4 linked regions of the Lonchura striata genome follow. The protein of the gene in region 4 interacts with the protein of the main gene of each other region in a pairwise test. Links are inferred from orthologs where the notes say so. Each region holds a gene or a part of one and is shown on either strand. Other genes may lie near its edges.

Region 1 (7,253 bases), on a different chromosome or scaffold from region 4:
CTGATTGACTATTCCAGCCACGGGCCAACCTCTGCTGGGCTGGGCTGTTTTAATGGCTGGGACTTGCTCCAAAATGCCATTTCTGAAGAGCAAAAACCTGCTGGGTCATATTTCTGTTTCGATTCAAAGAAAAAATTTAAAAGAGAGTGATAAGGGTGTAGTTCTAGGTAATTTTGCCCATAGCTCTAAGCTAAAGCAGGTCCAGAGCTGCCCTGGAAATGTCTCCAGCAGAGCAAAGCCAGCTCTGCCTCCTGCTCCAGGCTTCTTTCAGGATTGCATCTGGTTCCCAATGATAACTATGATGCCAATATCATGCTCCTGCCTGGGATAATCTCTCTTTTATTACATGTGTTCTGATGGAGACAAACATTGCTGGTTCTGCCTGTCCAGTTTCTTATGTAACAGCTCCCAGGGACAGAGGGCTGCATGGGGGAGAGATGCTTGGATTTTGGAATAAACTCCTTGGGCAAGAAACCTGCGATCTGACTCCCCGTCCTAAAAGGAGTCAGCTGAGAAACTCCCCCCTGCTCAAGCCCAAGCCATGATCGTGCCTGGCACAACCAGCAGCCTCCCCATCCATCCCCAAATAAAGTTCATCCACTCTGGGCAGGGCTGCCTTTGGCTTCCTACGGGCTCCTGATGCTGCTGGAGAGGTCAGGAGCAGGCACAGGACCGTGCTCCCTTTCCTGGCTGAGTCCCCTGCTGTCCCTGCCCAGCCCACAGAGCAGAGCAATCAGCTAAATGCTTTATCCCTCTGTGGCCAGTCACACCAGGAAAAAAAAAACAAAACAAAAAACCAAAAAAACCCAACAAAAAAAACACGAAACAAAAAACCCCTATAGTGATCCCTTTGCTGGCCTGACACCTTAAAGCCTCTCACTTCTCCCTGTCTTTCATCGGAGTTCTAAACTCCTTAGGATGTCATCACGTGCTCCATAAATAACAGATCTATATAAGCAGGGGCTGTGAGGGATGCAGCAGACAGAGGAGGGGAGGCAAAAACCCGGATCCTCCCTGGAGGCAGGAGGGCAGGGCTCAGCGACCTGGCTGGTGAGTACCCACATTCCTGTCACATCCCAGGGACACTGACAGCCTTGGGGACAGCTGCTGGTCCCCTGGCCACTGCGGCTTGCTCCTGTGTCCCATTTCCCCAGAAGGGTGGGAGGTTGGCATACAAGGCTTGGCTTGCTGAGAAGTGGTTTTGGCACAGGGCAGGGTGTGACTCTCATCCCAGCTCCTGTCTCACCCCTACACTTCCAACACGTGCTTCCAAAATCCAGCTGCAGGGACTCTTCTCACTGAAACCCTCACTGTTCTCTGGGCTCTTTCACACAGAGTATTTGATTTTAAGACTGGGTGAATAACTCTGTCCTGTCAACTAATTTTAAAAATCCAGCTCCAAAGCCAGGCAGACAATTCATAACTTAGTAAAAGATATTGCCAGGGGGGTTCTGTGCACCTGCCTGTTTATTTGCCTGTGAGCATCTCTCTGTACTGTGGGGATGCTCTCATTTCTGGTGCACAAACACAAGTAATGGCAGGAAAAATGTACAGAGCAAGCTCTTGGTTCAGTGCTATGACACACAGACACAGTGGGCTCATCTCAGGCAGGTCTGGCAAGGAGTCACAGCACAAAACCCAGCCTGGGGTATATGTGACTTGAACAAATACAGAAGGCTTTGTTGGAGCATCAGAGGACAGATAAGCCACGGAGAGGGAATTTTCCTCATTGTTGTTTCTCACTTACTCTGGGACCTGGGCAGAGTTTGTTTCACTTTTGCAGGTTTGATGATTCCCATGGTACCCCCGTGGCTGTGCAGGGCTCCTGGTTTCTCCAGGGTTAGGGAGTGCTGTTGGTTCCTCTGTGCTCTGCAGGTTCTATGTATCCCCCCTCCCCAGAAGACCTTATACTCTTCAGGGAGCTGAGAAGCAAAGCAAGAAGTTCATTTCCAGAAAACAAACAAATATATCAACCCTTCAGCTGCATAACCTGGGTTGTCAGCAATAATGTGCTGGAGGGGAAAAAATACAAGGAAAACAAGCAAGGAGCAAACTTTCCCCTTCCCTGACTACTGCTCCAGGGTGTTGCTGGTTGGGGTCTCAGGCAATTTCTAAGAATAGCTGAAGGGACCTGATTGCCCTTTCCCAGTTTTCTCTAACGGGATCGGAGCAGCCACTTAAATACAAGGTTTTGAACCTTCAGCTCTGTGGATGTCTCTGTAGAGACTTGCTGTGACTCAGTTGTTTCCAGCCTCCACATGCTCTGGGATAAAGACTTGCTCTTGGGCACTGAGCACTGAACGGTGCCTGCTGGAGAGCAAACAGCCCTGAGGAACCTGGGCAGGTGGAAGGTGTCCCTTCTCCCTGCAGGGGCCTGAACTGCATGACCTTGAACAGTCCTTTCCAACCCAAACCACTCTATGATTCCACTGTCCAGCTCTGTAATTCCCATGGGAACTGAAATTCTGGCCCTGCCTGCCATATTCAGCTGCCCTCTCTGCCCTGCCATACCTGCACAGCCATCCCAGCCTGATCCAGCAGCGTCCCCAGAACTCACCCCAGGCACTCAGCACCCCCAGGATCAAACCACCACTGCATTTTCAAGGTCCCCTGAGCTTACCCTCTTGCCTACTCTGGGATTTATTCATGCAAATGAATCCCTAATCCAATTAGTAGGACGAGGAGTTCCAGAAGATTTGATAATAAACTCTACAAACATTAGACCCACCCCCCACTCCCCCAGCACCCCACTCTCCCTGACAGCTCACCCTGCTTTACTTTCCTCCTGCAGGAGCATGAACCATCCATTCCCAGCATGAGTTCTGTCGGTCCTTGGTGGCTGGAATGAGCCCTGGGGATGCTAAATAATTCCTCTGCCAAGGAAACCCTCTGTCCCTGATGGATCTGCTCCCTTAGATACACACCCACAGCCAAACCAGCGATTCATTGAAAATAAATCCTGACCACCCTGTCTCACCTCGGGCTGCATAAGACTGGCATTTCAAGCATCCAGCCCTTGGCATTTCAGGATGGAAAATTCCCAGCTTGAGCCAGTTGTGCCCTGTGCAACGTTTGTGCTGGTAATGCTTTTGTTTCCATAAATCCTATTAGCTGGAGGCAAGCCTATAATTAGCAGGGAAAGCCAGCACCTCTGAAACAATAATCAAAAATGACCCAGCTTTGCTCTGTCTTCACTGGAAATTGCTTGCATATTGCTCTGAGTTTGGATGGATGGTCGAATGGTTGGCTCTGATAGCCATTCCCACAATTTCTGTCTGCAGAATGCGTGTGCTTGGTGAAGTTATTCACTCAGTTTGTGGTTCTCTCTGGGTTTATTAACTCAGTTCACTCACACGTGAAAGCAGAGGCAGATTGAAGCTACAGGCTCTGATCCAGGTCAAGGGATTTGTCTGGGCTGTGCAGAATGGGTCTGCCAGATGCCCTTGGGTGCTGGTGACCCTCTTGGAGGAACCTGTGTTGAAGGTGTTGAGGGTGGAGTGTCATGGTGTCCGGTGTCTGGTGGGATCATGCTACCCCAAGCTGCTGGGGCGGGGGGCAAAGCCTGAGGCCACCTCACCAGGGAGGACAGCCAAGGCTTTCAGCCTCAGTCACCTGCTCAGCCCTGCCAGGGAGCCACTCTGTGAGGTGGACATGACCTGAGAAACCAACAGAGGTTGAGCTGTGACACTCACCTGCTCAGTGAGCCAGAGAAAGAGGTAAATCCTGTCAGCCTGTGCTCTGGAGGAGGTGGCTCTGGCTGCCTGGTGTGTGTCCCTGTCAGGGCACCTCTGTGACCTCTGTGACAGCTGTGCTGTTCCAGAAACACCAGAGCATCACAGGGAACTTCCACACAGATGCTTCTTTTACAGCTCTTGCCTTCCTGTGGGCACATCCCACCCTGCCTGTCCCCAGGGCAGCAGCTGGACTTGCTGCAGGGTTCTCCTGCCCATCGCGCTGCCTGCTGCTGACATGTCAGTGCTGGGCAGGATGCTCAGCCCCACGCCTGCTCCAGCTCTGGCAGCTCTGGCCCCTCTCCCTGCTCTGTCCCACCACCGGATCACTGTGCTTTGTCCCCCTGCTCCCTGGGGTTAGCTCAGCTCACAGCCGCTGCCAGCCTCCTGTGCCCCTCGGCTCACAGCGCGGGCAGCTGGGCTCACTGCGGGCGGATATTTGCTGTCCATACAAACACAAACATCCACAGGAAAAGGGGGGCAAGCCGCTTAATCCTGTCTGCGAACAACAGCTACTCCCACTGGCTGACAGCGCTGGAGGAGCTCGGCTGGAATAAAGGCTGTGGGAGCCCAGCCGAGGGAGCGGTGGGAAGCCAGGCAGGAGGAGGAGGAGGAGGAGGAGGAGGAGGAGGATGTCGGCACTCGGCGCCCTGCCCTTCCTGAAGCCGGTCCAGCTGCGCTCGCCCCGCAGCTCGCCCGGGGGCCAGCGCCGGCACACGCTGCCCGCCAGCGAGTTCCGCTGCCTCAGCCCCGGGGACGCCGCCAGCGTGTTCGAGATCGAGCGCGAGGGTAAGGGCGACGGGGGAGCCTGCCCGGTGCCCTCAGCTGCACCCCTCGGCATCCTGCTTCCAGGCTCCTGTGCTCCTTGTAAAGGAGAATTCCCCTGCGGGTGCCCTCGTGGGAAGGATGCAGTGGCCGCGGCTTGTGGCCAGGCCACCCCGACGAGGTGGAGGAACTGTGGTTAATGAGCTGGAGAACCACGGCCCCAGCTCGCCCCGGGAGGTGATGCTGAGTAGGACCAACTGAGCGAGGAGCAGCTCTCCCAAAACCCTGTGGAAGGATAGGAAAAGGGGAAGTGGGAGGAAGGACACCATGCTCTGCCTCCTGCTGCACAGGGGCATTTTGAAGTGCCACCCTGGCAACCTTTCCCTGTTTCCTTCACCATAGGTTCCCTCACCCAGCCTATTTCTCCCTCCTCTCCAAGGGCAGGGGCAGCCAGGAGATGCTGAGAGGGAGGGCTCCATTCAGCACCTGCTGCTGTAGCTCTGGAATCAGCAGAGTTAGGAGCCGGTCACTGGGCCATGGGGAACTGCTCCTGGAGAAGCAGAACTGCTCCTTGGAACCATCTGTGTCCCTCAGAACTCCTTTAGCCCTAGTAGGCAGCAGGACACATGCCATCTCTGCCCATCACATCCCACTTTGCCTCTCCTACATCAGTGCTGGGAGTGTTTCTGGGTCAGGTGTGCTTTGTCTCTCTCACTGAGTTCACCACTGCCCCTCTCCAGCCTTTATATCGGTTTCTGGGGACTGTCCCCTGCACCTGGACGAGATCCGCCACTTCCTGAACCTGTGCCCGGAGCTGTCCCTCGGCTGGTTTGAGGAAGGGAGGCTCGTGGCATTCATCATCGGCTCCCTCTGGGACCAGGAGAGGCTCAGCCAGGTATGACCCAGCCCTTCCCACCTCGTGCACCACCAGGGAGGCATCAGCTGGTTTGAGGGCAGCAATCCAGGACCCCTTGGGGCACCTCAGCCTCAGGGGAGAAGGGGCAAATCCAGCCTCAGGTCATTCAGTGAAGGGGGGATAAAGGCAGGGGTGACTCTGCCCTCAGGCAGGATCAGGAGCTTCCATGAATCCAAGTGTTTTGGTTCTCCTTCTGCTAGAGACCCTCCAAACCCTGTCTCCTCCCAGGGAGGGGTTTGAGTGGCCCATCAGGGCACCAGCCCTGCCAGAGCCTGGGGACCAGAAAAAGCTCTCTGGGGCCCTGCTACTCCCAAAATCTCCCACAACTACCTGCTACGGGGCTGCTCTGGTAGAAACGAACTTTCTCATTAATTAATTCAAACCACGCAGTTAAAAAATATGCCAACCAATTCCCCTCAACATTCATTTTAAAATTAAAAACCCTCCGAGGACGATGGGGGCGAGGGATGAACAGGGATGGGGAGGATGTGGAGCCTGCTCCTTTGGGGTGGGAATAAGGAGCAGGACGGGACTCGCTGGTGGTGCCAAGTGCCGTTTCCCCCTTGCAGGCAGCACTGACCCTGCACAAGCCGCAGGGCTCGGCCGTGCACATCCACGTGCTGGCCGTGCACCGCGCCGTGCGCCAGCAGGGCAAGGGCTCCATCCTGATGTGGCGCTACCTGCAGCACCTGCGCTGCCTGCCCTGCGCCCGCCGCGCCCTGCTCATGTGCCAGCCTTTCCTCGTGCCCTTCTACCAGAAGTGCGGCTTCCAGGCGCTGGGGCCCTGCGGCGTGACCGTGGGCGACCTGGCCTTCGTGGAGATGCAGCACCCGGTGCGGGGACACGCCTTCATGCGCAGGAACAGCGGCTGCTGAGCCCCTGCCCTGCTGCCCGGGGGGATGAGAGGCTGCAGCTGCTCCCTCTGCCACATCTGCCCGCCAGCCACACCAGCCCGGCCCCATCCCATCCCTGCAGGGCTGGGCACGGGAATTCCTGCCAGATCCTGCTGGAAGCATCAGCTCCCCCGGCTCAGCTTTAGCCCGGGCTGTGCTGAAGCAGAGCTAAACTACCTGGGCTGTGCTAAGGCAGAGCTCAACTCCCTGGGCTCAGCTTTAGCCTGGGCTGTGCTGAAGCAGAGCTCAGCTCCCCGGGCTCAGCTTTAGCCTGGGCTGTGCTAAAGCAGAACTAAGCTACCTGGGCTGTGCTAAAGCAGAGCTCAAATCTTGGGCTCAGCTTTAGCCTGGGCTGCGCTGGCAGGTGTGGCTGGGCTGCAGGGCCACCAGCCCCCTGGGATGGAAAGGCTTTGCCCTGGGAACAGCTGGGGGCTCTGCTGGTTTGGGGACACTTCCACCCACCGTGGTTTGCTGAGACACCCAGCAGAGCCCCTGCAAACATGTGCCACAGCCTGGCACCCCTCCACCATCACCACCACCACGAGAGGAGCAGAGCATGGCCCAGTCCTCCTGAGCAGCCCCCAGACCAGACAGGGGCCATGGCAGACACCCCCTGCCCACAGACATCCTTCCAGCCCCCTTGGAGCACACTCCCAGCCCACAGCCATCCTCAGCTGCACACTGAGGAGCCTCCCCAGGGAACCAGTCCAAATTATGGTCCTCCCTGTCCCAGACCCACAGCCAGACCAGGAAAATCCTTCTGCAAACAACTCAGGTTGTTGGAAAGCAGCAAATAAAGACGTGGTGGTGATTTTCTACACAGCCCATGTGTGTTCCTGCCCTGATTTCATCATGACCTCACCACAATGGGCAGAGGGAGGGCACCAGCTGGTTTGAGGGCAGCAATCCAGGACCCCTTGGGGCATCTCAGCCTCAGGGGAGAAGGGG
Region 2 (8,491 bases), on a different chromosome or scaffold from region 4:
TTACTCGCTCCATACAGAGGTTTACCCCTCCAAAATTAGAAAAACGGGGACATTCTCAATATGCCTTATTATAGAGTAGCTTAAGCATGCATTAGCAACTGATCAGCTGTTAAAACCACAATATTTAGCAGAGATGTTAGCACACATGTGTCTTCCCTAGTTGCTTAGTTCCTGATGCCTTCTCTACCCTAGGTTTGCATTTTTGAGGAAACGTTTTGAGGCCGGGTGATTTGCAACAATGTTGGTGCACTGTGAGCCTGTCCCCTGCACACAGTACACAGCTCTGCCAGAGCAAGACATACTGGTACACCCAGAGAGTGACACACTGTCTACTGAGCACTTCACACTAAAGAGCAATCTGTCCTTGGAAACTCTGACATTTTGCCTTCAGATTTTGAAAAGTGTGGTGTTCCACTGCTATCTCTACAGCCCTGTGATATTATAAGGTCCCCAAAGTCAGCATTTACATCCTGCACCCTGCAATTGCCAGGGGAAGGAGAGCTCCTCACAACATGCTAGTTTGCATGCTGGCAATCATTAATTTATCTTTGTAATTTCCCAAAGACACCTGTCTTGCTGACCCTTCTGCAGACTCAGAAGGCTGAATAGTGTCCTGGGCTGACAGACAGGTGCAGACTGAAATGGAAGAAAATTAAACTGCACCACAATCTACTATGCAAAAGGATCCCCCCACTCACTGTGGAGCTGTACTCAGTAAAACCACATCAACACTGCATTTCCAGACTGATGGCTGTGGAGGACAAAGAGCAGCTGGGCACCCTTGAGTTTTGAGACTCACAGCTATCAGTGCATTCAGCTGCCAAGTTCATATCTAGGACCTTCTTGTCTTGATCATATGCATTTAATCTAGATAAGGTACAAATCCCAGGTAAAATGCAAATCTGCCTTGTGCTCAGATGGTGAAATACTGCAAGGCCCCCCCATACCACCACCTCTGTGCTTTGGTAACATGAAACATCAATCCTTTTTCTATGCAGAATATGGCTTGAAGCAACATCTGTCAACCTTTTGAATTGTTCTGTGCTGTTTCTCCAGGCTAGCAGCCCTGAACGAGCCACTGTGACATAGTGAATCTCAAGCACCCAGGCTGCGGGAAATGGTCCTGCTCTGCCTTACCCTACCAAGGACACTGCTTTATGCATGACAACCTGCTGCAGAGTCCAGTCCTGCTATCTGACATGTCTTCCATGAAGAGAAAAATGCTAATTTGTCCTCAACATTCTCAGTAATGTATATCCTGCCTCCTTTAGCTGATAGAGGGGAAAAAACTGAAGGCCTCAGAAATGCAATAACTCAGATAATAACAAGCTAACTTTTGAAGGGCAGAAATTACAAGGTCTTCAGAACGGAACAACCTTGTTCTGCAGAAAGCCAAATGCAATTAAAGCAATGTAAAAACTCATCAACTTTGTCTCCAGTCTATGTTCTTGCTTCTCCTTCTCCAGCTGCCCCCACTGCCTTACCCACCTCCTTTCATCCCTTTGAAACAGCCTTTGAAGCCCTACAGACTTCATTTATATTCAGATTTTACTCTTTGCTGCACTCCAGTGACTCCAGCAAACTGCATGTGTAGGTCACGTGCAGTTTCACAGATTAGAAACAGGATCCCCAGTCCATTCTGGCAAAAAAGAAATAAAGAGCAGCTAAACTGGATTGTTTCATTTTAAGATTGCTGGCTTCTGATAATTTCATGGAGCTGTTATGGCTCCTGCAGATTCTACAAAAGGTTTCCCTTACAGGAGTAGAAAAATCACTCAAAGGATAGAATTATAGTGCTGAAACTGATTATTGTTTTAATTTCTAAAAGCTGGTAAGCTGAGGGTTTTTTTTAAGTCTACTAAGTAGTCATTAAATATGTTTTAATTTAGATTATCAGTATAATTTCTTACATAATCATTGATCTGCTCACACTCCAAACTTACTTACAAAAGTAAGTTTTCTCACTTACTAACACAAGTGCCAACAACTTGCAACAGTGCCAGAATCTTTTTTATTTACTATCAGATAAAGGCAATAATGTTAATACGTGAGTATTCTTTGTAAGAGGAGTAAAATTACTCCCTACATGGTATTTGCAACCTATCGAAACTTTTAATCTGTCGTTTTTCACAGCTGGAAAACTTATTGCCTTTTTTTTACAGAAAAATAAAATGTCATTTTATTTTTGACAAATATTTGGAGAGAGAGTTTATGATGAAGTGTCACAAAGAAGGCATTCTTGTTTACCTCTAGATTATCTTTCACAAAATTTCCACTAAGCAAGAAGTTGAAAAAACCACCTTCTTACAGGGAAGGCCCAGCAGAGGTTTGTTTATGAGAACCTTTTTATAGCACCTTTGAGATTTCCCAGCATTTGCCTGGTTACATTTTTGAAGATTTATTACTAAATGCAATAATAAAACTACAAAAAAAAAAAAAAATCCCACAACAATGGCAACCATTTAAAATTAGGATATGCTTTCATTTTACTAAAACAGCTCACACTTTTAAGTGTAGTTAAAAAGAGTGAGATGGATCTTTTACCCAGACAGGACAGTCGTGTACCACCAGTCTGACATTTCCAAATACGCAGGCTTGATACTCAGTAAAAACTGGATTTCCAACGTGACTGGCAGACAAGCTGCTGTCGATCTGGGAAATGAGAGCACTTCTCCCGAGATAGCTCCAGATGAGACTCGGCTGCTGATTGTCCTCAGAAAAACCATCTCTTTCATTCCCAAAAGCTACAATATTAACCGACCTAAAATATAAATAATAAAGACAAAGTTGTGTTAACAAAGATGAAGGGAAAGAAAATAAAATCAAAACTAATATATTAATCCTTCTGAATCCTTTTCCCTCCTTACATTTTAACACCCTCCTGTAATCAACAGCAAAACACATACATGATCTCAAATCCAACAGCAGGGTGGGAGCAAAGCGGAAAAGAAACCTGGAAAGGCTGATTGCATTGCAAATCCCCAGCGGGTTTGGCTTGTTCAGCCTCGCTGCGGTGACCTCGGGGACTCCTGCCACATTCCCCCGGCTGTGGCCAGGCTGGATAACTCGGTGCTGGTTGCTCCGGGCGATGGACTGCAGCCGCACGCCGGAGCCACAGCAGCAGAAGCAGCAGGATCAGCAGCAGCGGCAAAAGCAGGATCGGAATCTGCAGCAGGATCGGGATCTGCAGCAGGATCGGGATCTGCAGCAGCAGCAGATGAGCAGCACCGCAGGCTGCGGTAGCCGCGGTGCTCCGGCGCTGTCGCGGAAGGCGATGTCGCGTCCGGCCGGGCGGTCCCGGCCATCGCATCCTGACGTCAGCCAGCCCCGCAGACGCTATGGCAGAGCGACATGACGTCTCGAGGGCAGGTACAGCCAGGTGAGCAGGGGCAGGGAAAGGCGATGGGGCAGAGCCGTGTCCCACCCCGCACGCCTTCTGTTGCCGCCCCGCAGGAACAGGACCAACATCCGCTCAGCAGGGGACGGTGCCACCGCTTCTCTGCACCAGGGGAGGGACCTGGGACTGCCGCAAAAAAAGGAGAGAACAGTGTAAACTTTCTCTTTTAAAGTATTTAAACTTTTTTTTCCATTACTATTTAAATAATATCTATCTTTTCAATAGTAGGCTGATTAGTAATACAATTTCTAAAATGCCACTCACGCCTTTTAGTGTTCATGTGATGTTTAAAGCACAGTTTTCCAAAAGGATGCTCTTCCATTGTAGTAAAACAAACACAAATCACAGAATGGTTTAAGTTGCAAGGGACCTCTGAAGATCACCTAGCCCAAAACCCAAAACGCAGGGTTACCTAAAGGAGTTACACAGGAAATATACCAAATCCATTCTAAAAATACTATTTGCTGTCACATACCACTGTATACACTAAAATAATAAAAAAAGAGTAAAAATATTTTAGGCATACTAGATAGTACACAAGACTCTGTGTTATGTGAACACATGCTGTTGTTAATCCCATGGGCAAGAACTCATTCAAAACAGGACTTGATACTATTATCAACAGAATAATTAATAGAGCTTTACTTGCAACAATCCATACTTTGAGAAAAGTACTATTCCACTATTTGCAAATTTAGGAGATGCCATTTGATGTCACTAACAAAGTTTTATATCGGTATAGTACTGAATGGCAAGACTGTTTTGATAAAAAAATATTATTATCTGCTAATGAATGCTAATTTATTACTTTTACTTTTATTATAAATTCTACAGGGACTACTGAAAAAGAAAAAAACCCAAAGAACAAAACAACAGATAATTTCCTAACCTGTTTGTTTTTGCACATTTTATCCCATCCTAGCTTCTGCTTTTCAATCTAGCTTTGCTCTAGAAAACTAAAAGACAAATGACAAGTTGAAGTTGTGGTTTTATTTCATCCTGGAAAATAGTTAGAATGCATATTTCATAGGTAAGTTTTAAAAAGTATCACAGTAAACCACTGTTTTTTTCCCCAGATGATCCTCTGACTGTGAAGTACCACTGTCCATATCCAAAGTCTCAGTGGTGCCCAAACCCTGGGTACATGATGTTGTGAGTCAACAGAGCATTCAACATTTTTCAACCATGACTATTTGTGTGCTTTTTAAAGGTCACTGAAGATCCCTTGGAATTCTTAAATTTATGCTTGTAGCAATCTACCTATCGAAAATGAGGAAACCTTTGCAAGAAAAGTTCTTCACATCACTAATGAGCCTGACCTGGTATAACTAAATGCATAGATAGTTAAATACATAAATAAATGTGAACATGCATATACAGACATAAATATGCATACACAGATTCATGTAGGCATATGTTTAAAATACATGCATGCATATTATAAATGCAACACACCCACATGTGCAGATGTGGACACATATATAGATGTAATACCAAGAAAAACTGAACTGGTAAATAAGGCAGTACTAATGAGGAGTGACCCAATTAACCCAAACTCCAATTAACATAGCTTATTCATTGCTTCAGACCTAGTCCTGCCCAGGGGTGACATGGGTAGGAGTACCAACTGAGATGGAGGGTCACAGAAAACATTTTTGTTTTCCTCTCACTTCCTTCAACCACCCAGGAAACTACTTAGGACTGACAGAAGTATCAGCTTTGGCAAAGTGTGCAGATTGTGGATGCAAGATACATCTCGGCTGATGAACAGCACTTAAAGCTTGCATACTAAAATACACAGAACTGTTTTAGTAACAGTTTTCCAGCAATCAGATGCCTGAAAACAATATTTAAAAAGCAAGCATTAAAATTGGAGAATGCTGTCTGTTCTGCTGTCAAAGTAGGTAAACTGTTTTTGCTTGCATTGCTCAGGGGTTGTGCAATGCATTTCAAATAAACAAACAAAACAAAACAGGAAAGGAAATTATTTAAACTTGGCAGGATAATAAATACCACAAATAGGGAAGTTGCTTGGCACCCCTACCCTAGATGCATTCTACAAGTTATACGGGCAATGCAAGGGAAAGCCGTAAAAGATTGTTTAACTGAGAGGATTACAGAGGATTGCTTGACTGTTCTCTCTTTGGCAATCAGAAAGCTGAATCCCCTCCTGTGATCAGCAAACCTTTTATCCAGCAGACATTTGCCATTGTTGCTAACAAAGACTAAACTGCAGAGAAGGGAGTCTTTGACAAGGTCCAGGAAACAATCACCTATTCGGTCCTGTGTAGTTTGCACTGGAACATTTTTTTTTCAAACCATTCTCGTTGTAGCTTTCTGGTGAGTACCTCAGATAAAGCACTGAAAACAAATACACAGTTGTTAATGACAAAGGGAAATGATATTTGCTAGTGCAAGGAGTAAAGTGCAAGCAAGTCAAGGAGGAGGATTTTTCCCTAGTGGAATCTGTAGCCTTACTTGCATTGATCCAGAATTATCTAGCCTATATTTTCAGGACAGTGAGGAGATTTAATGTACTTGAAGTCAAAGTCATTGCCAAACCTGCATATTAGCTGAATTGCACACTGCACAAAGCTCCTGCTGCTGCTGCTGATGCTGGTGTAGTCAGCTTTAGGTGCAAGAGAAAATGTGTTGCTCTAGAACAGGTAAATTTCCAGTTTTTTTTTTTTTCAAAGATAGAATATAATTCCAAATAACACTAATACACTTTGCTGTATAGACCTATTTCTCCTAATACTGGGAAAAAAAAATCCTGCAATAGGCTTGGTTTTACTGGTGCTTGTCCAGAGTAGACACGGCTGCTGCAGGATCTGCCAGCCAAGATCTGCTCTGACAAAGCACCAGCAAACAAAAATAAGGTTTTCTGTTGTAGCCATCTGCCACATCCCCACTAATAAAAGACATCTCTGTGTGTGTATGGGAAATGAATGGAAGGACAGTGCTCAGGACCAGTAGTATTTCTCAGCATAACTATGCCAGAAAAATCATGTAGTGTTGTTCAAACTTGGAAGCAATTTTTTAAAAAAAATTTCACACATAAATCACAGAATGGTTTGATTTAAAAAGGACCTTGAGGACCACCAAGCTCTACCCCACCCTGCACATTCAAGTCTGTTTCAGGGATGGCACAGGCACTTACAGTCAGAGCCCAATACCTCTCCAGCCCAACAGGTTTCACTGCTTTGTAGAGGTCACAGATGGAGGCATCAAGAAAAAACAGCTCAAATTCTAAGACTTTTGCATCAAGTTGTGGAAAGGCTATCCTTGGTCATATTCAAATTTCACTAAAGAAGTCCTTGCATAACCTTAGCCCTTTAGACATGTTTGGAGAGGAGGTTCAGTTAGATGGCCTCCAGAGGTCCCTTCTGACCTGAATTATCCCCTGACTGCATAAATCTCCTCCTTCCTGGAGAGTGACCACTAAGCCCTGTCCCTCACTTCCTCTTCTTATACCAGCTTTCAACTCCAAAACCAACCTCTCATCCAATCTTGTGGCAACTTATTTTCTTTACAAAGTTTAATAAGCTTTGCAAAAAGCTTCTCAAAGCTTTTTGAAAGTGCAAGAGGATTATTTTGCTCACATGACCTCCTTTATTGGCATACTTACCACCCTCCCTCCAGAAGCCAGTGATGCTGAACTTCACTGGAGCCTCTCCAACAGCTTCCCAAGAGACTGTGTTTATCCCTGGATCTCATTTTCTCAAAGACTGTGTCATCTCACCAGGAGTGGTAGCTGCTTCCACTGCTTTGGCATTACCCAGAGCTTGCTAAAAGAGTTTTTGAATATATGGTGGCCTCCTATGATACCCAGACCCCAGACACAATTTTTTTTCTTGCCAGTTTCTTATGACTGCTCTCAAAAATTTTATCTGATCCTGTCCATTAATTAACATATATTTTTACTACTTTTTTTTCTAAACTTAGTGAATGAGATCAAGTAATACCAGTGCTGATGCCACTACAATTTTTTGTCTTTTCTTTTATATAGTTTTTATTATTCTCAGTGCCCTTAGCATGCATACTTGTAATTCTTTAAATCTGATAATTTAGCATAGTCCTGGTATTCTGTTGGGCCACAAGACCAAACATCCTAAAGGACTCAGAGTTGGAGGCCAGAAATCCTACACTATCTTGAGAAATCTAGGTCCCCTCTAGAATACATCCTGTAAACTAGGATTAGGGCCATTGTGGGAATACTTCAGGACAAGGAGATATCATGCTATTCATTCAAGTCTCTCATTAGAGCATCTTTGATAGATATGCTAATTTACAAGGTGTATAAAGTTGTATATGAGATCTACTCTGTGTGTGCATTTCTGAGTATTCCACCTTGGAGGCGTGTCACACCATAAAAATCCTTATTCAATACCAAAGTAAAAACCCTGTATCCCTTAACCATGTCTGGCTCTTAATTTTAGTACCAAGGAATAAGCATCAGTACAACATTGAAACAGAAATATGAAGGGAGTGGGAAATTATCTATAAGAGGAGAAAGAGAAAGAAAAATATATGACACTTTTAAATTTAAAACCAGATCCATTTTGTGGCAGAACAGAGCTGTGCAAGCAACTAATAAGCTGTGGAAAGCTGCTAACCCTGTGAGGGTGAGATGTGGAAAACAAGAGCCAGGTCTGCTGCTGCAGATGTCCCACACAAGAATTGCTTGACAATCTTGTTGATTTTGGCAGTGAAAGAAACAAGGTCCTGTGCTATGAGGTGGGGACCCATCTCATGGGGTGCCTAAATGTCCCAACCTTCTTCAGAGGTGAAGGGCTGAAAGTACAACATGCTGCAGAAGAAACCCCTCTCACACTGGTGAAAATCCCCAGCAGATGCAGAGTTGCACCTTGCAGTTCTTATGTCATAATTTAATAAGTGTTACAAATTGCATTACAGTAAAGGTCAAAGGATCAAAAAAAAAAAAAAAGTAGTTCATATATTGTTTCTGCTATTCTAGAAAGGGAAGCCATTGCCACAAGGCAGACATACACCATTATGTCATGCAGAGGAGCATCACCTGACCCCAGCTTGCCCTGCTACCCCTCCCCATGCCTTGACTTGGACTTGAGCTGA
Region 3 (7,962 bases), on a different chromosome or scaffold from region 4:
CGGGGGAGGAAATACGAGGAGGAGGCGCGTCGTCCTCTCCGCCACGGCGCCCCTTTTTTGGCCCGGGACGCGGGTTTTGCCGGTGGGGGCTGTGCTGCCGTGGTTGGTTTCCTGCATCAGCTGCGGGGGTGTGTGTGCACAGCACACACGTGTGTCTGTGTGTGTGTGCGCTCTCCGTGCCGGGTCACCCTGCCCGGCCAGGGGCTGCCCTCCTTTCTCCCACGCCACGGGTAGGGGACCGCCGGGCCGCCCTCCAGAAGACGGGGGGGACCGCGCTGGGCTTTGGGTACTGAGAAGGGGAATTTGACGTTTCTTTTTTTTTTCCCTTTTTTCTTTCTTTGCTTTTTTTTTTTTTTTTTTTCTTGTCACCCAAACTCCCCGACAAAGCAGTGTTGGCGACTTTTCATTGCCACTCGGTTTTTCGATCGGGTTTTTCTTTTGAAGCCAGTACGTGATGTCTTTAGCAAACAAACCCAAATAAATATTTCTTGCATCACCTCCGTGTTCTCCCGTGCCTGCACTCCCCTGGCAGTCTGTGTGCTCAGCTGTGAGCACCTTGGCCCTGCTATGTCTTGCCCTTTGGAATTCAGTGTCCAGACCACATCTTGCCTTAAAGCAAACAGGACCACCATTCCCACAGTTTTCAAGGTTTTTACAGGGAGTTCTTTCAACCTACATATAATCATGTTTGTAAGACAGATGGGTATTTTAATCCCCATTTCACAGGGGAGAAACCAAGACAGGAAGATGCAGAGTAGCTCGCTGCATAGCTGTGGACTGACATGACACCACTTCTGCCTGAGCTTTTGGCCACAGGCGCTGTCTCTGGGCTATTTTTCCTCTTGAGTTCACTTAAATTATACCTTGAGAACACTTCCAGCTTACAGTGGTGGCAGTTTCTCTGCTGTGGGTAACCTGTCCTATGTCCTGCCCAGAGGCAACACGAGAAGCAAATGTAAGTGAAATCCCTGGCTAGTTTGCAACTGGTGGTTAGGGTAAGATAAAGTATTCTTTGCTGAACTGGAGATTCATGGAAAAATCAGACCCGCAAAGAGTATCTTCAGGAGAAATGTGTTCTGCTGCTCCTATTGGACAAGCAAATGACGATTCTTTATTATTAGAGACAGTGCTTGTCTTCTCCCTTGTCTGTCCCGCCCTCCACCCCCTCCCTTGTTCTTCCTTTGTCTGGCTTTTAGACTTGGGACTCTGACTTGCTAAAGAACAGAGTTGCTGTTACTCTAAGCGCAGCAGCGTGAATATGATCCTACAAGTGCCACAAACATAAATTCGTGTACCAAGTCTGACCAGTCACAAACCCAGGACCCTGCGACCTCTGAAGCTGGGTCTGAACCTCTACTTGTTCTGCTCAGCTCTCCCTTACAGTCTGTCCTGCAGGCTCTGGGGCACTTAGCATCTAGATCCTTCTTTGCCACTCATTGTCTGAAAGCCTCAGATTGTGATCACCAGAGTCATCAGGGAGAAAGTGTCAGATAGTGGCCCTTTCTCACAAGAAGCCTCCAGAAAAAAGAGCCATCACAACTGCTGCTGGTGCCAAAGGAGTTCTAGGCTACTCATCTTTTCACAAGGACCTGAGTAAGTTCAAAAGAGATGCTCCAGCCTGCAAGTTGAAATGAGACCATATTAAACCCCCTGCAGCCAGCAGGAAAAGTTTCTTCTGATAGAAGTAGTCAAACCACCTCCCACCTATCAGTGAAAATCAGCCCTCTCATCACACCTATGTGCACAGGAATGTAATAAGTGCCCTTATTATATTCCTGCAGACAAGCACAACTGTCTTAACAAGAAAGACTCAATGAGGTGTCAAAGAGGAGACAGGTCCTCAGGGATGTGTATCATGTGGTGGCAGCTTATCCTCCCTTGAACATAAAATCAGTCATTGCAAAGTCAGTTTGGGTCAGAGGACAAAACGAAGAACTGAAAGTCTGGCCCCTTGGAGCTATTTCCATGGTCTTCTGAAAAAGCAGCCAAAAAAGCAGCTGTGAGCTGGGGCCTCTCCTCAGCTGGTTCCCCTCCAGTGGGCAGAACTAAGGGCCAAAGGGCTGCCTTGAGCCCAGTTCAATGTCGTTCCAGCACGCTGCCCCCCGGTCAGGTAAAAAATGCAATCCTAAGGGCTTTGAAAAGGCAGCATACCAGCTGTTTATCCCGGGCAGACCACTTCATCTTTTTCTGTTTTTCCATCAGTAAAAAGGAAGTGCTTACCCACTCAGTAAAGTACTTTTGGAAAAGTACTGTGGATGATTGCTAGTAGGAGGCACAGAGTAATCTTCTCAAACCTGCAAATGAGGGAAATTCTTTAAAACTTTTCAGTGAGATTTAAAATGCCACATCAATATGCACAGAGGAAAAAAAAAAAAAAAAAACACAACACCACCTTCACTGCAGAATTTAGATACTTTTAAAATTTCACCTAAAAGGAGTCCTGAAGGATATAGATCCTCTTTAATTGACTATGTGTATACCTGAACAGGGAAGATTATTGAGGTTTTCTTCTCTCTAAAACTCTGCTGTATTTTCAGGACGACACCTATTTTTAAACATCCTCTCATTTTACTCTTGAAACCTTGTTCAGAAACTGTTTTTCTGTAATGGCTCACAGGTATTTTATATATAAATATATACACATACACACATTAGGCTCTCAAGAAACCACGATACATTAGGTAGTCTTGAATAATTCATTGTTAAGCACCCCATGATAAATCTCTAGTTGAACAGTATGTGATTTTGCTTGAATTCTTGGGATAAATTGAATGTGAAGCACTGTGGTAAATTTAACTACGCAGAGCATCAAATGTGAAAACTTTACATTGTACATTACATTCTGACATGCAACTGAGAATCATTATTATTAAGGCTTCGGGGAATTTTCAAGGGAACTTCTGAAATTCTGAAAAGAAAAAGAACAAGACTGAGTGCTGTTCTCTATAGAAGTTGAGATTTTCTCAGAGAAGGGAAATTCCATAAGTAGTCTGTATTGAATTAACATAAAGGTTTCACTAAAAGAACTGTTGTCTATTAGCTTATGCTCTGAGGCTTCTCATTGAGTACTACATATGAAAGTCAGAGGATCTTGGCTTACCTGGTACCAGAGGGTGCTTAGAGCTTTTCTAGGGCTTGCCACTCCTGCAGCGGGGCTGGAGAGATAGGGCAGCAACCGCTGATGTGAGGGGAGGTAATTTCCCCCTTTTCTGTAGCAGTAGCTGTCACCCCAGATACTCACAGCTCTCCCTTGTCAGCAACAGCCAGACGCTTTCCTGGAGGTAGGCAAAGGCAACAGCACAGGGACCTGGTCATGCACCACTCCTCACAGCCTGCAGCTCCAAACAAGAAGATGATCTCCACTGGGACATTTTGCATGGCAATATCCTTCATCTCCACCTTTCTCAAGATGTCCTGAAGATGAGTTGCTTTTCATTGTCCCATAAGTTGGTTCAGTTCTTTCTGATTTGGCATTAAATAATGCAAACTGTTCCATCAAAGAATTTTGGCACAACCTTTCTTTTTATTTATGTGTATACACTGCAGCTCTGTGTGGTGGTACCTGGTACCTGGTAGTCCTGTGGCCAGGAAAATGTACAAATCTGTCCAGCTTCAGGTTAATCACATGATATAGGGCACAGTTCACTGACAGAGCTTCACCTTTTTCCAGGTATTATTAACCAAACATTTCAATGAACTTCAACATCACTGATACCATATCTACTTATTTATATCATATTCATCTTAATGATATCAGAGCATCTCAGACAAGAATACTTGTGTTTAAGAGGCTACGCTAAATTCTCTTTTGGTGATTTTTTGTCCTTCTCCCTCTTTGGAAGAGTCCCAACTGCTGGGGAAGCTGGGGTGCTCCCCCAAGAGTAATCACAGGACAGCTCATGGAGGCAGGGGAAGAAAACCTACTTTAACCCTAATTTTACCACCACCACCACAGCCTAACATCAGCCTTCTTTCCTCCCAGCACATGAGGCCTCATGTGGCTGGTCACAGGACAGAGGTCAGACAAGAGACCAGGCGCAGAGCAAAGCAGCCAATGAGAAGGATATCTTCTAACCAAATCCCTGTGAGGTGTCCTTTGGTCCTGCAAGCCCTGGTGAGACCAGTGCTGAGCCCACACCTCATGCAGCATCCTCCCTGCTGGAGCATGAGACACCTGGTGAGGCCAAGAGACAGGGAGTCACCCTCAGCATTTTCCAGGCTGGCCCCACTCCTTGTCTGGCCAAACCATTTATGACGGCATGCCAAAGTCTAAGGAGAAAAACAAAAAATAATTAAAATTGTACTGGTTGAACCACTGTTGCCTTTTTGTCCAAGAGGAAGCCCCAGTGGCAGGCAGATAGTGTGACCCTGCTGCTGACTTGCCCTTAGCCAGATAAGGAGCAGGCTGGACCACTGGCAATGCTGTGAATGCCTCGTACTCAGCACACCACACATCCAGCAGGGTTTTGTGGAATGTGACATTAAGCACTTCTAGGAGGGAGATAGTTGCCACACAGAATTATGAGATCTGGAATGGAGAATTCGGGAGAAGGCAAAGGCTCATCTGAAGCGCATGGTATGATACCATTTGGGTTATAATAAAGGACTGAGCCAGTACAAACCCCCACCTCCTCCCAGAGATGGAGCTCACCCAGGGCCCTGAGCAGAGTCTTGTGTCCAAACATGAGACAAGTTTGAGCTTGGGCTGGTGCTCTGAAGTTAGAGTAGATGTACCCATGAAAAGCAAGTCCCAGAGCTTTTGGCTTTCCACTGAAAATTTCTTCTGTCTTTTCACAAAGAGATGCTTCTCTATAGGTCAGCAGGCTCTGCACTTTCACAGCCCTTTTACTCCCTTCCACCCTGGTATTTTTACTTCTGAGTAAGACAGGTTTCTGACCTTTTTTCATGAAGTTGCTCATATTTTCCACTGCATCTCCTTTTTTACCTCACCCCACCAGTTCACTCTGATCTTTCTTTCTCAGTAGCTCTAGGTTCTGAACTGCTCATTTAAATATGGTGTGGCTTGCCAGCATTTTTTCCTAAGCCTTTTATTTTATCAGTTAAAGAAACAGGAGACACACAAGGCACTTAACACAAGTGCACCTTGCCAAGATGCCTTCAGTGGTATGGTTTTTCTTTAGGTTTGACCACAAACATTTTAACATATCTGAGTGATTAAAAAGCATTCCAACCCATGCTTTCTTCCCCAAGTATTTCTGCCATTCAGTGGCCCTCTAGTATTGTTTGCCACAGACATGTCTGGGAGAGGTCTTTTAAATATCACTTTTTGAGCACGTTAAGTTAGCTTAGCAGCTCAAAAGTTGCAGGGTTAAAAAGAAATAAGCAAAACAGGCTTATTTTCTGTGGAAATGTTTTCCCTTGCCTCCTTCCCAGTACAGATATGAATAGAAGAAATCCACAAAGGAGAAAATAATCCCCGTTCTATTGAAGATTCTCAAGTATGTTAAAATTTACTTGCTTACTGGAATGTTTACTTTGTAGTCATATTGCAGATCACTAGGTACAGATCAACAACAAAGTTTCTAGTTCCTTTAGCCTTTATTCTTCAGAACTGTGAAGTGGCATTCAAATAGTACACAGAATATTTGCAGTGGTTCATCACAAACTACACAGTTCACCTTTTGTAAAAAATGCTCTATAATTTAAAGATGTTCAGTCATCCTTAAATCCAAATGGCTACAACAATAATTAAACATATGGCTTTGCTGTGAATTATCGTGGTTTTATGTCATTTCCCTGTTTATGAGGTCTCCTGAAAAATCATTTTCTCAAGTTGTGGCCAGTGATTTTATAAATCTTTTTAGTCTAAGGCTAAGAAAGTTAAGCTCCAATGCCTGAGGAGTGTAGAAAATTTTAAAAACACACTGTAGGGAACAAATACAAGTTGAAAACACAGCACTTGCACTCTTACAGCTGTCCCAAAATTTCACAAGGCCAACAGTGTAAAAGCCATGGATCTCATTTTCCAAAATTCTTATCACAGCAGTATGACTGCATCCTTTATCCATTTTCACACATTGATAAACAATTACCCATGTAACGTACAAGATAGAGGAAAGACAGACGAAGGAGAGGGAGAACTACAGTGAAAGAAACATGGGACAAGGCTGGCTTCTCACTGCAGTAAGGAGAGAAATGACTGGTGTTTGGTTTTTCATGGATTAGCTGCTGGCAGCTGCAGCATCCAGCCCTGTTTGCCCCTGACCCAAACTGCTGCTCCAGTCTGGCTTGGCAGCCTCTACACCGACTTCTTCACCTCCAGCTGCACATTCAGCCCTTCCAGAAAGTTGTGCCGTGGCTTCATCACATTCCAGTTGAAGCTCTTTTTCATCAAAAAGAAGTAAGACATTTTACAACTGGCTCTATCTTCTGTTTAAACGCTTGAAAGGCAACATCAAAACATGTTCTAGGGTGCAGCAGCAGGTCTCAAAGCTGTTTGTCAGGTGGCTTAAGAAGTGGTACAACAGAAAGAGCACACTATTTCCTTCAGAGGTGAATCATTCCCCAGCCCTGTCTTTAACGCAAGTGTCAAAGCCTTTTTTTAAGTCACAAAAATGCGATTTATATATTATTTTGACCAAACTATGGAACAGCCATTCTGATTAATTAAATGTGTGTACATCTGTGAAAAGTAGAATCTGACACTGATGCACTGTTAAATTTGCAGATAAGCTCATGGAAACACAAGAAGAAGCAGAAGTTAAGACATCGAATCCTCCACTGGCTTAGATTGTCTAAGTTCCTTCAAGATACTTAGATTATATTATTGCCATAGAAGTGCTACAGGAGAAGCAGCCAGTCAACCCATAAAACCCAGAAATGGTGTGTACTCACTTCTTTAAAATACTGGGTTTGTCTGCTTGTCCAGAAGAAATCCAGCATGGAGGCAGGCCAGCTGAGATAAAGAAAACCAAGACACATGAGGCAGATGCTGGACACAGATAGGAGACTAGCCTGTGAAGAACAGCTCAGCTCCCCAAAGGCTTCAGGCACCAGAGTGCAGTGAGGGGGAAGAGTACATAGCACAGCTGTGAGTCCCTCTATGGAGAGGCATTTCCTTTGTGGAGTAATTTTTCCTGTGCCTATCTTCAGGAAAGAATTTGTGTGTCTGTTAAGTCCCACTAATGCACTCTCAGAAAACCAGAGCATGTGCTTAAGGAGTTCTTGTATCAAGTTTTACAGGCATCATCTGAGCATGTGAGTTATCCCCTTGGCTTACTGGGACCATGCATTCCTGGAGTCCCTGATGATCTTACAATAGCCTCCACAGTGAACTCAAATGAAAAAACAAAGTGAATTATTATTATTAAATCAAGAAAGTTCATAATTGAAACATTACTGAACACCTCCCCCATCTAAGGCTCCATTTTGGGGTATCTGATCCTGTGAACAGCTTGCACAATGAGGCACCAAGGTCACCGGGGCTAACAAACCACAGGTTGTGCTTTCTGTTGAGTCAGAGGTTTTGCTGACAAACATTCAGAGCCAATTCTGCAATGATCCACCATGCATGTTCTTCCTGTTAAGACAGTAGTGCCATTCTAGTAATGTTTTAGAGATCTTTCTCTGGTAAAAAAACATATCTGTGCATTACTTTTTGTTGTCTCTTAAACAGAAATACACAAATCTGTAAAAACACTTCTAATTATGTTTAAAAACCAATCACATTGAAACCAAAGCTGATGCCAAGAACATATTATTCACACAAACCAAGAGATGCAAAAACACTTTGTTCCACTGCTACGGACTGCAGGATAAAGTAAACAGGACAATTAGTCTGGTTTATGGAGGCCAAACTCATGGTACCTACCTTTGTATCTCCCCTTTTTGCCCCACAGGCTGCATATAAACTTTCTTTTTAATATACCCTTTCCACTTACACATTCTTTTTAAGTACCTCTTCATTCCCTACTCCCATTCCCAAGGCCTGTCTTCCTGCTG
Region 4 (7,676 bases):
GAGCCGAGGAGTCGATGGGGGAATGGGCCGGTACAGGAGAAGGGAGTCTCTGGGGCATCAGCAGAGGGGGGGAGATTTTGTCGGGGTTCATGAAGCCCGTCAGAGCTGCGGCAGAGGCCGGCAGGCTGGGGTACAGCACGGGGACCGAGGCCGGGTACCAGCACTTCTCCAGCATGGGCAGGTAGGCGGTGGCGGACGGCGGGATCAGGTAGAAAGGCAGGCACAGGGGAGGCTGGTGAGCGTGGGGGCCCAGGAAGCTGCTGGAAGAGCCCATCATGTCACTGCCAAAAGGGCCCTCGTCCTGCGGCAACTCCAGCCTGCTCCTTTTGGCCGGCGGGTCCTCAGTCTCTTGCTTAATAGAGCTTATTCTCTCCTGGACAGCGTACTTGAGGTCGGTATCCTTTTTGAAATAGGGCTGCTCCGCTTTGGAGTCGCTTTTCTCCAGCTCGCCCCCGTACCCGCTGTCCGTGTCCGTGTCGCTGCCGCTCTGCTCCCCGCTGGAGTGAGCGAATGTCCGCTGGATCACGGGCACGCAGTTCTTCCCGTGGCCCTCGCCCGCCGCGCCCAGCGGCGCCGGCTTCTCCTTCAAGTCCAGCATTTTGGGAGGGATGTCCCCGGCCTTGCGGGCGGCCCCGCCCTGCAGCACCTCGCTGGCCATCCGGTGCAGGTGGCTGACCAGCTGCGACGACTTCAGCTCCTTGCCGTTCTCGTGCTTTGCCAGGTATTGCAGCATTTCCTTGGCACACATCTGGAAACCGGATCGAAACATTTCCTGGCTGGAATCAAGGTTTCTCGATGACAGGTCACCTAAGGAAACATTAACAGAAAGAAATTAAAAATTAACAACATGCTAAATAGTTCCATTTCCAGCTCCGAGGCGGACCGGAGGCGACGCTGGACTTGGGTTACAGCACGGCCAGAGGGGAAAGCACTGGCCAAGCTGGAGTCTATGAACAGAAATCCCCAGATTTCTGCAGAAATGGACAATTCCATTGGAACATCCACCTGTCCGCTTTTACATAAAAAGTTCACGTAAAGTGCTGCCTGCTTTTTTTTTGTTATTTACTGTAAAATCCACCTTCAACAGGTACTGGAGTGCGGGGAGGGGAGTGAGTCAAGCTGTGGCTTCTCCAGGAAACCCCCGGGGAAGGCAGGGCACCTCGCCCTGCACCTCGGGGCAGGGAGCTCCCGGCCCTGCCAGCAGCTCCACCAGCCCCAGGGGACTCCACTGCTCCACTGCACTCCCTGTGGCTGCCGGGGCAGGGACGGCACCTCCCAAAAATTCGGGTTTACTGTGTCTGATTCACGTGAGAGCCACATGTGAAAACAGCAGGAGGAAGTGCATCTAAGGCTGATAAGCTGAAGCACCGGGTCCCCTCTGCCTGCAGAGCACAGGCCAGCTCGGTTATAAAGAAACTTAAAAAGCTTAAGGTTATTTGCTTTCTATACACACTTAAAAAGGTGTGTATAGAAAGCAGATTTATATCTATTTTCAGAGAAAAACAACCAAATAAACCAGACTGCGTCACAAGCACAAATGGGAAGAATCGAATGGCTTTGGAGAGAACCTCACTGCAAACCTGGGCTGCAACTAAAACTACTTAAAACCCAGTTTAATTTCAAACAACTCCCAGGGCACTCTGCATTGACCATCTTGAGCAATGCATCATTTTTTGTGAAAGCTCATGAGCAAAGCCTGAGAAAATGACAGCAGGAAAAGCCAGAATTCCTGTCCCCTCCCTTCTCGGTACCAGGGTGTCACAGGCACATTTCACAGGCTCCCCAGGGAAAGCCCATCACACACACACGGGCTCCCACCCTGCCGGCCGGACACTCACCCGCCTGCAAACCGCTCTGCAAAGCGATGATCTTCTGCTGCTGCTGCTCGATGAGATTGGTCAGTGCCTTCACGTGCTTCAGGGTGAGCTCCAGAACCACAGCCTTCTCCAGGTGCCCTAGAGTCTGGGAGCACAGGGACAGGTTGGCACCCGCCGCCGGCTCGGCCAGGCACGCAGGAGCCGCCGGTGCCTCCCCGGGAGCCGCGGGAGGACGGGCACGGTGAGACCCGGAGCAGGCGGGACTACCGCCGGCAGCATTGCACGGAAATAAGTTAAAAAGCCGGCTACGGAAAAGGCTCTCACGGAACCCTGTGGGTACTTTCGGACCAGCCGCATAGCCCGGAGAGAAGCGTTTTATTTCTGGGTCCTGCCGCCCCTGGCGTGACCGGGGCGGCCCGGCCGGGGACAGCTCTCGCCCGGTGTCGGGGGCGGTCCGGCGGGCAGCCGCAGCTCCCGGGGAAGTTTGGGACGCGCTTACAGCCTGCCCGGGCGTGCGGCACCACGGTGGAAAAAAAATAAAAAATAAAAAAAACCCCAAACCCAGCCCAAATCCGCGGTGAAGCGGCAGCAGAGCGCTGGGAGCTCCCCCCGTCCCTCCGCTCGCACCTACCGTCAGCTTGAGGTGCTCGGGCAGCAGGTCCTTCAGCTGCGCGATGCACTCGTTGATCCTGTCGCGCCTCTTCTTCTCGATCAGCCGGTGCGGCAGCTTGTAGGTCTCCTGCGGGGCCGGGGCAGCGGGTCAGCGGGGGGACAGCGGGGGGACAGCGGGGGGACAGCGGGGGGACAGCGGGGGACAGCGGGGGACAGCGGGGGGACAGCGGGGGGACAGCGGGGGGACAGCGGGGGGACAGCGGGGGACAGCGGGGGGACAGCGGGGGGACAGCGGGGGACAGCGGGGGGACAGCGGGGGACAGCGGGGGACAGCCCGGCCCGGCCCCGCTGCCGCCGCTCCTCCCGTCCCGAGCGCGCCGGGAGCGGCCGAGCCCCCGCCCCGGGAGCGCTGTCACCGGCCGACTCACCCCGTGAACCCCCAGTTTACCCCGTTAATCCCCAATTTACCTTCTCACCCCTCACTGTACCCCATCACCCCCCATTCACCTTGTTGTCCTCGCTCCTCTTTAAGCCCCTCCGGGGCTTGTACACCTGGTACATGTGCGCGAAGTCCAGCCTGCACGGGCGAAAGGAGAGCAGCGCGTTAGCCCCGCGCCGGAGCCGGCGGCGCCGCTCCCCCCGGAGCCCCCCGAGCCCCCGAGCCCCGCTTACCCGGGCAGGTCTCCGCTCTCCAGGGCGGGCAGCTTGCCCAGGCAGCCGGGCGGGGGCTGCGCGCCGGGGACGCGCTCCATGGCGGGGCCGCGGCGGAGCGGGCTCAGGGGCTGCGGGCGCCGCCGCCGCTGCTCATGCCGCGCCCGCGCCGCGCGGGCTGAGGAGCGGCGGGCGGCCGCGGGCCGGGTTAAATGCGGGCGGGTGGGTGGACGGGAGCGACGCGCGGAGCCCTGTGACCGCCGGCACGTCTGGCGGCCGCGCCCCCGCCGCCGTCACATGAGCCTCACGTGGCGCCGGGCGGGCCGGCTCCGCGCCCCCGCACGTGCGGCGCGGCGCGGCGGGGCCGGGCCGGGCCGGGCCGTGCTGTGCTGTGCCGTGCTGTGCCGGGCAGTGCCGGGCAGTGCCACCGCTGCACTGTGCTGTGCTGTGCTGTGCCATGCCGTGCCACCGCTGCACTGTGCTGTGCCAGCACCGTGCTGTGCCAGCGCCGTGCCGTGCCGTGCCGTGCCGTGCCGTGCCTTGCTGTGCCATACCAGGGCATACACTGCTATACTGTACTGTGCTATACCGTGCCATGCTGTGCCATACCATGCCATGCTACATACCATACCATACCATACCATACCATACCATACCACACCATACCATACCACACCATACCACACCATACCATACCATACCATACCATACCATACCATACCATACCATACCATACCATACCATACCACACCATACCACACCATACCATACCATACCATACCATACCATACCATACCATACCATACCATACCATACCATACCATACACTCCATACTGTGCCATACAATGCCATACCATGCCGTGCTATACCGTGCCATACTACGGTGTGCTATACCATGCTATACCGTGCCATGCTGTGCCATACCGTGCCATATATTGCCTTATGTGCTGTGCCATACCGTGTCATACCATACCATACCATACCATACCATACCATACCATACCATACCATACCATACCACACCACACCACACCACACCATACCATACACTCCATACTGTGCCATACAATGCCATACCATGCCGTGCTATACCGTGCCATGCTATGCTGTGCTATACCATGCCATACCATGCCATGCTGTGCCATACTATGCCATACACTCCATACCATCCCATACACTGCCATACCATGCTGTGCCATACCATGCCATACACTGCCATACCGTGCCATACTATACCATGCCATGCCGTGCCATGCTGTGCCATGCCGTGCCCTGCCATACCATGCTGTACCGCTGTTGTGTCCCGAGATCGGGGAGAAAGAAAAAAAAATAAAGGAAAAAAAAAAAAACAACAAAACACCCCCAAAGAGACACAGACACAAAACACGGACACAGAGAAAGCTGCAGCCACGGAAAGTTTGGAAATGTGGGGGAAGAAATAAAGTGAGAGTCGCTAAAATGTGGCTCTGGGGAAGTGGCAGTGCTGCAGGGAAGTTTTGGGGTGGGAGGACCCCATCGCTGGGGGTATCCAGGGCTCGCAGCAACTTGCTCCAGTGGAAGGCATCCATCCCTGCCCATGGCAGGGGGCTGGAACGAAGTGGGCTTTTACGTCCCTTCCAACCCAAACCATTCTGTGATTCTTTGACCAGCAGGAAATTCTCCCCTGTGAGGGTGGGGATGTGCTGGCACAGGTTCCCAGAGAAGCTGTGGCTGCCCCATCCCTGGAAGTGTTGCATGGAGCAACCTGGTCTAGTGGAAGGTGTCCCTGTGCATGGCAGGGCGTGGATGATGGTAACTTTAAGGTCCCCCCAGCCCAGACCCTTCCATGCCATGCCATGCCATGCCCGTGCCAGCCCCTGGACGCCAGCGGTTGCACAACGCCGAGCGATGACAATGGTTTGTGTGTACCTGCCAAGGCAGAGCTCTGCTGGAGGGCCGTGGTCACTTCCCTGCTGAGTGCTGAGCAAGTAGAGGCAGGCTTAGCTGATAAAAGGTGCATTTACCAAGATAAGGGAGCAGCAGAGCTCCAGCACTGAGCTGCTGCTACTGCCTGCAGAGTTCTGGCTGCTCCACCCTGGCAGGAATCCGAGGGCAGGAGGTGCTACATGACAGCACAGAGAGGTTTTAGATGGGTGATGGAGACAGGCTGTTTGAGGCTTACCCCCGCCCAAAGGTGTCTGTTGTTACCAGGAAGAATCCCAAGGGAAGTCAGAGCCTCAGAAAGATGCTAGCCATACATGCAAGGTCTATAAAACCCCCAAATCTCCCCTACAAGCTCCCAGCAGCACCTCCAGTGTGAACACCACAGCACTGGATCAGTGACGTGGGGCTTCCACAGAACAGATGTTTGGGTTGTCCCACTCAACATGGTCCTCCCAGCGTTTGACATCCCAGCCTGCAAACCCGGTGATTATGGCCAAGATCATGGAATCCCAGAATGGTTTGGCTTGGAAGGGACCTTAAAGACTTCTCAATCCAACCCCCTCCATGGGCAGGACCCTGAGGGTCTCTGTGGTGCCACAGCCCCGGCGCCGTGCAGGAGAGGAGCTGGGACTGAGCACGGAGCTCGGAGTGCCACAGAACCACAGCAGAGCTGTGACCTCCCACAGCAGAGCTGCTCTTTCCTGCAGGCACTGAACAAACTCGGCAAGAAGCATCAGGGGACATGAGGGTGATGGTTTCTCCCCTGCTGCAGCTCAGGGGACCAAAACCAGCCTCAGTATCGAGCCCTGGAGCAGAGGGTTTGCTCTCTCTGTGTCCCCAAGACCAAAGCTGTTCTTTTCCAAACAAAGAGTGAAAAAAACACAGGCAATTTTTCATCTGTCCCATCACTGACCCTTCATCCAAGGCAACAGAAATAATTAGAGCTTGCTACAGCCTTTTGCTAATGAAAAATGAGGTTTGGGGCCAACCTGCTCTGCATTCGAAGTTCAAGCTCCAAGAGTACGTGGACGGCTTCATGCCCGTGGATTGTCTGACTCCTGCATGCTCCTTCAGATATTCGGTACATTCCTGCAGTGGGTGGTGAGCCACAAATCAGGGTCAGAGGTAATCCCCAATTATTTAGCCCTTTTACTGTTCTCGTGCTTGCCAAACAATTCTCCATATCAGGATTTGCTCATGACCTTAAGGGACGTTGCCAAGGATTTAGGAGTCCCCCTAAAAAGGAGGATCCAAATGAAGTTATTGCATTCTTGGGCATCAAGTGAGATTGCTCGAGAGTTGAGTTACATTTTCCCGGGGATCAGTTTTCATGAGCAAGGACTGATGCAATCATCAATTCGCCTTCTCGCTTGTGTTTGCTGAATTATTTCTACATGGAGGGCTCCTTTACACCACACGATTCAGGCAGTACCAAAATGTTTAAAAAGGCTGAATTCCCTCAAGCCATCCGTGGAGCAGCAGCTCTCCTGAGCACTCCTCCAGCAGGGCTGGGAGTCACAGGACCGCGACAGCTCTGTCCAAGGGGATTTGCAGCTATTTACAGAGGCACGAGAAGGTGAGAGTCTGGGGGCTGGTTTGGGGGTGGGCTGGGAATCCGAGACTCAGGATCTGCCCCTTCCCCGGGACTGTCCCCTTCCGACCGCAGGGATTTGGGGGAAAACGTTCCAAAAATCCCTGGCACTGCTGTCTGATGGAAGCCTATGTGGGCAGCGCCGGGAGTTAACAGATGGGTTGTGGATTCGAGCTTACGATAAGGTTACTGAGGGTGGTTTTGTTTTAAAATGTCTCTTACTTAATATATCCATGAAGGCCAGGCATGTGCCTGTGGCCTGTAATCAAATCGCTGACTCTCCCCTCTCCCATTTCCAGCAATCCCGGCTCGGGTTACTGGCACCGGAGGTGAAAGCTCAGCCCCGCCGAGGCTGGAGCGGGATGCGCTCCGCCTCGGCATCCTCGGCCCCGGCAGGAACACCCCGTGCTTTCCGCAGCAGGAAAAGCCCAGCGGGAGCCAGGCTGGCTCCGGCAGAGCTGGAGCGGGGCTCTCTCCGTGCTCAGCAAACGGGACGGCTCCGCTGCGCTCCCGGGCCGGAGCGGAGGCTCCGGCGGGGACGGGCAGCGCCTCCATCCCCGAGGATGTGCGGGCAGTGGTCCTGCAGAGTGCGGGCAGGGGGGATGTGGCCAGGCAGCAGCTCCCAGGAGAGCCGCACCTCTCCTTTCCCAGCCCCGTGCCCGAGGCTGTGGCAGAGCCCACACCCCTGAGCCAAGGCCGGTCCCAAGGGACGCCGTGGGACCTCAGCGCAGGGCGTGAGGAGCAGCTTGACACCCACCAGGGCTCCGCCTCAGCCTCCTGGGAGTTGCAAAAGCCCGATTTGGTGTGAGGCCGGCTGGGTTCAGCTGTGTGAGACTCTCGATGGCGCAGCTGGCCGCGCTCGCTGCCGTGGGACCGTCACGAGTCAGAAGCCGAGATTGAACATTGCAAATACGCGCATCCATCGCTGCTTAATTGCACCGGTTTAGGCTGCCACGGGCTCTGCCTGGATAAAGCGCTGGGAAAACACAGCAGGAGCTGTTGTCTGTGCGCCCTCCCTCCGGCACGACCCTGGAGCGCTGCCGGGCACGTGAGAGCTGCGGGAATGACGCTGGCATCGCTC

The links.
Region 1: the proteins of BHLHE40 (region 4) and AANAT interact in binary tests that used the Homo sapiens proteins (3 or more experiments, as listed by UniProt). The two-hybrid records come from large-scale screens. The link is inferred for Lonchura striata from reciprocal best matches to the Homo sapiens genes BHLHE40 and AANAT.
Region 2: the proteins of BHLHE40 (region 4) and RHOBTB3 interact in binary tests that used the Homo sapiens proteins (3 or more experiments, as listed by UniProt). The two-hybrid records come from large-scale screens. The link is inferred for Lonchura striata from reciprocal best matches to the Homo sapiens genes BHLHE40 and RHOBTB3.
Region 3: the proteins of BHLHE40 (region 4) and HIVEP1 interact in a two-hybrid assay, tested with the Homo sapiens proteins (2 studies listed by BioGRID and IntAct). The link is inferred for Lonchura striata from reciprocal best matches to the Homo sapiens genes BHLHE40 and HIVEP1.

What each region holds. Positions count from the first base shown.
Region 1 is NC_134621.1:4,057,453-4,064,705, reverse strand, and holds AANAT (serotonin N-acetyltransferase), read left to right. Parts: upstream 1-4,363; coding exon 4,364-4,520; intron 4,521-5,236; coding exon 5,237-5,391; intron 5,392-5,981; coding exon 5,982-6,287; downstream 6,288-7,253. UniProt on the Homo sapiens protein: Controls the night/day rhythm of melatonin production in the pineal gland. Catalyzes the N-acetylation of serotonin into N-acetylserotonin, the penultimate step in the synthesis of melatonin.
Region 2 is NC_134642.1:53,371,116-53,379,606, forward strand, and holds the start of RHOBTB3 (rho-related BTB domain-containing protein 3), read right to left. Parts: upstream 3,491-8,491; 5' UTR 3,311-3,490; coding exon 2,907-3,310; exon of another isoform or gene 2,870-2,906; coding exon of another isoform or gene 2,868-2,869; intron 2,762-2,867; coding exon 2,545-2,761; intron 1-2,544. UniProt on the Homo sapiens protein: Rab9-regulated ATPase required for endosome to Golgi transport. Involved in transport vesicle docking at the Golgi complex, possibly by participating in release M6PRBP1/TIP47 from vesicles to permit their efficient docking and fusion at the Golgi.
Region 3 is NC_134603.1:91,367,203-91,375,164, forward strand, and holds the start of HIVEP1 (zinc finger protein 40), read right to left. Parts: upstream 3,630-7,962; 5' UTR 3,242-3,629; exon of another isoform or gene 3,101-3,241; intron 2,295-3,100; 5' UTR 2,221-2,294; intron 37-2,220; exon of another isoform or gene 1-36.
Region 4 is NC_134614.1:23,080,590-23,088,265, reverse strand, and holds the start of BHLHE40 (class E basic helix-loop-helix protein 40), read right to left. Parts: upstream 3,220-7,676; 5' UTR 3,182-3,219; coding exon 3,102-3,181; intron 3,007-3,101; coding exon 2,937-3,006; intron 2,557-2,936; coding exon 2,449-2,556; intron 1,963-2,448; coding exon 1,839-1,962; intron 808-1,838; coding exon 1-807. UniProt on the Homo sapiens protein: Transcriptional repressor involved in the regulation of the circadian rhythm by negatively regulating the activity of the clock genes and clock-controlled genes.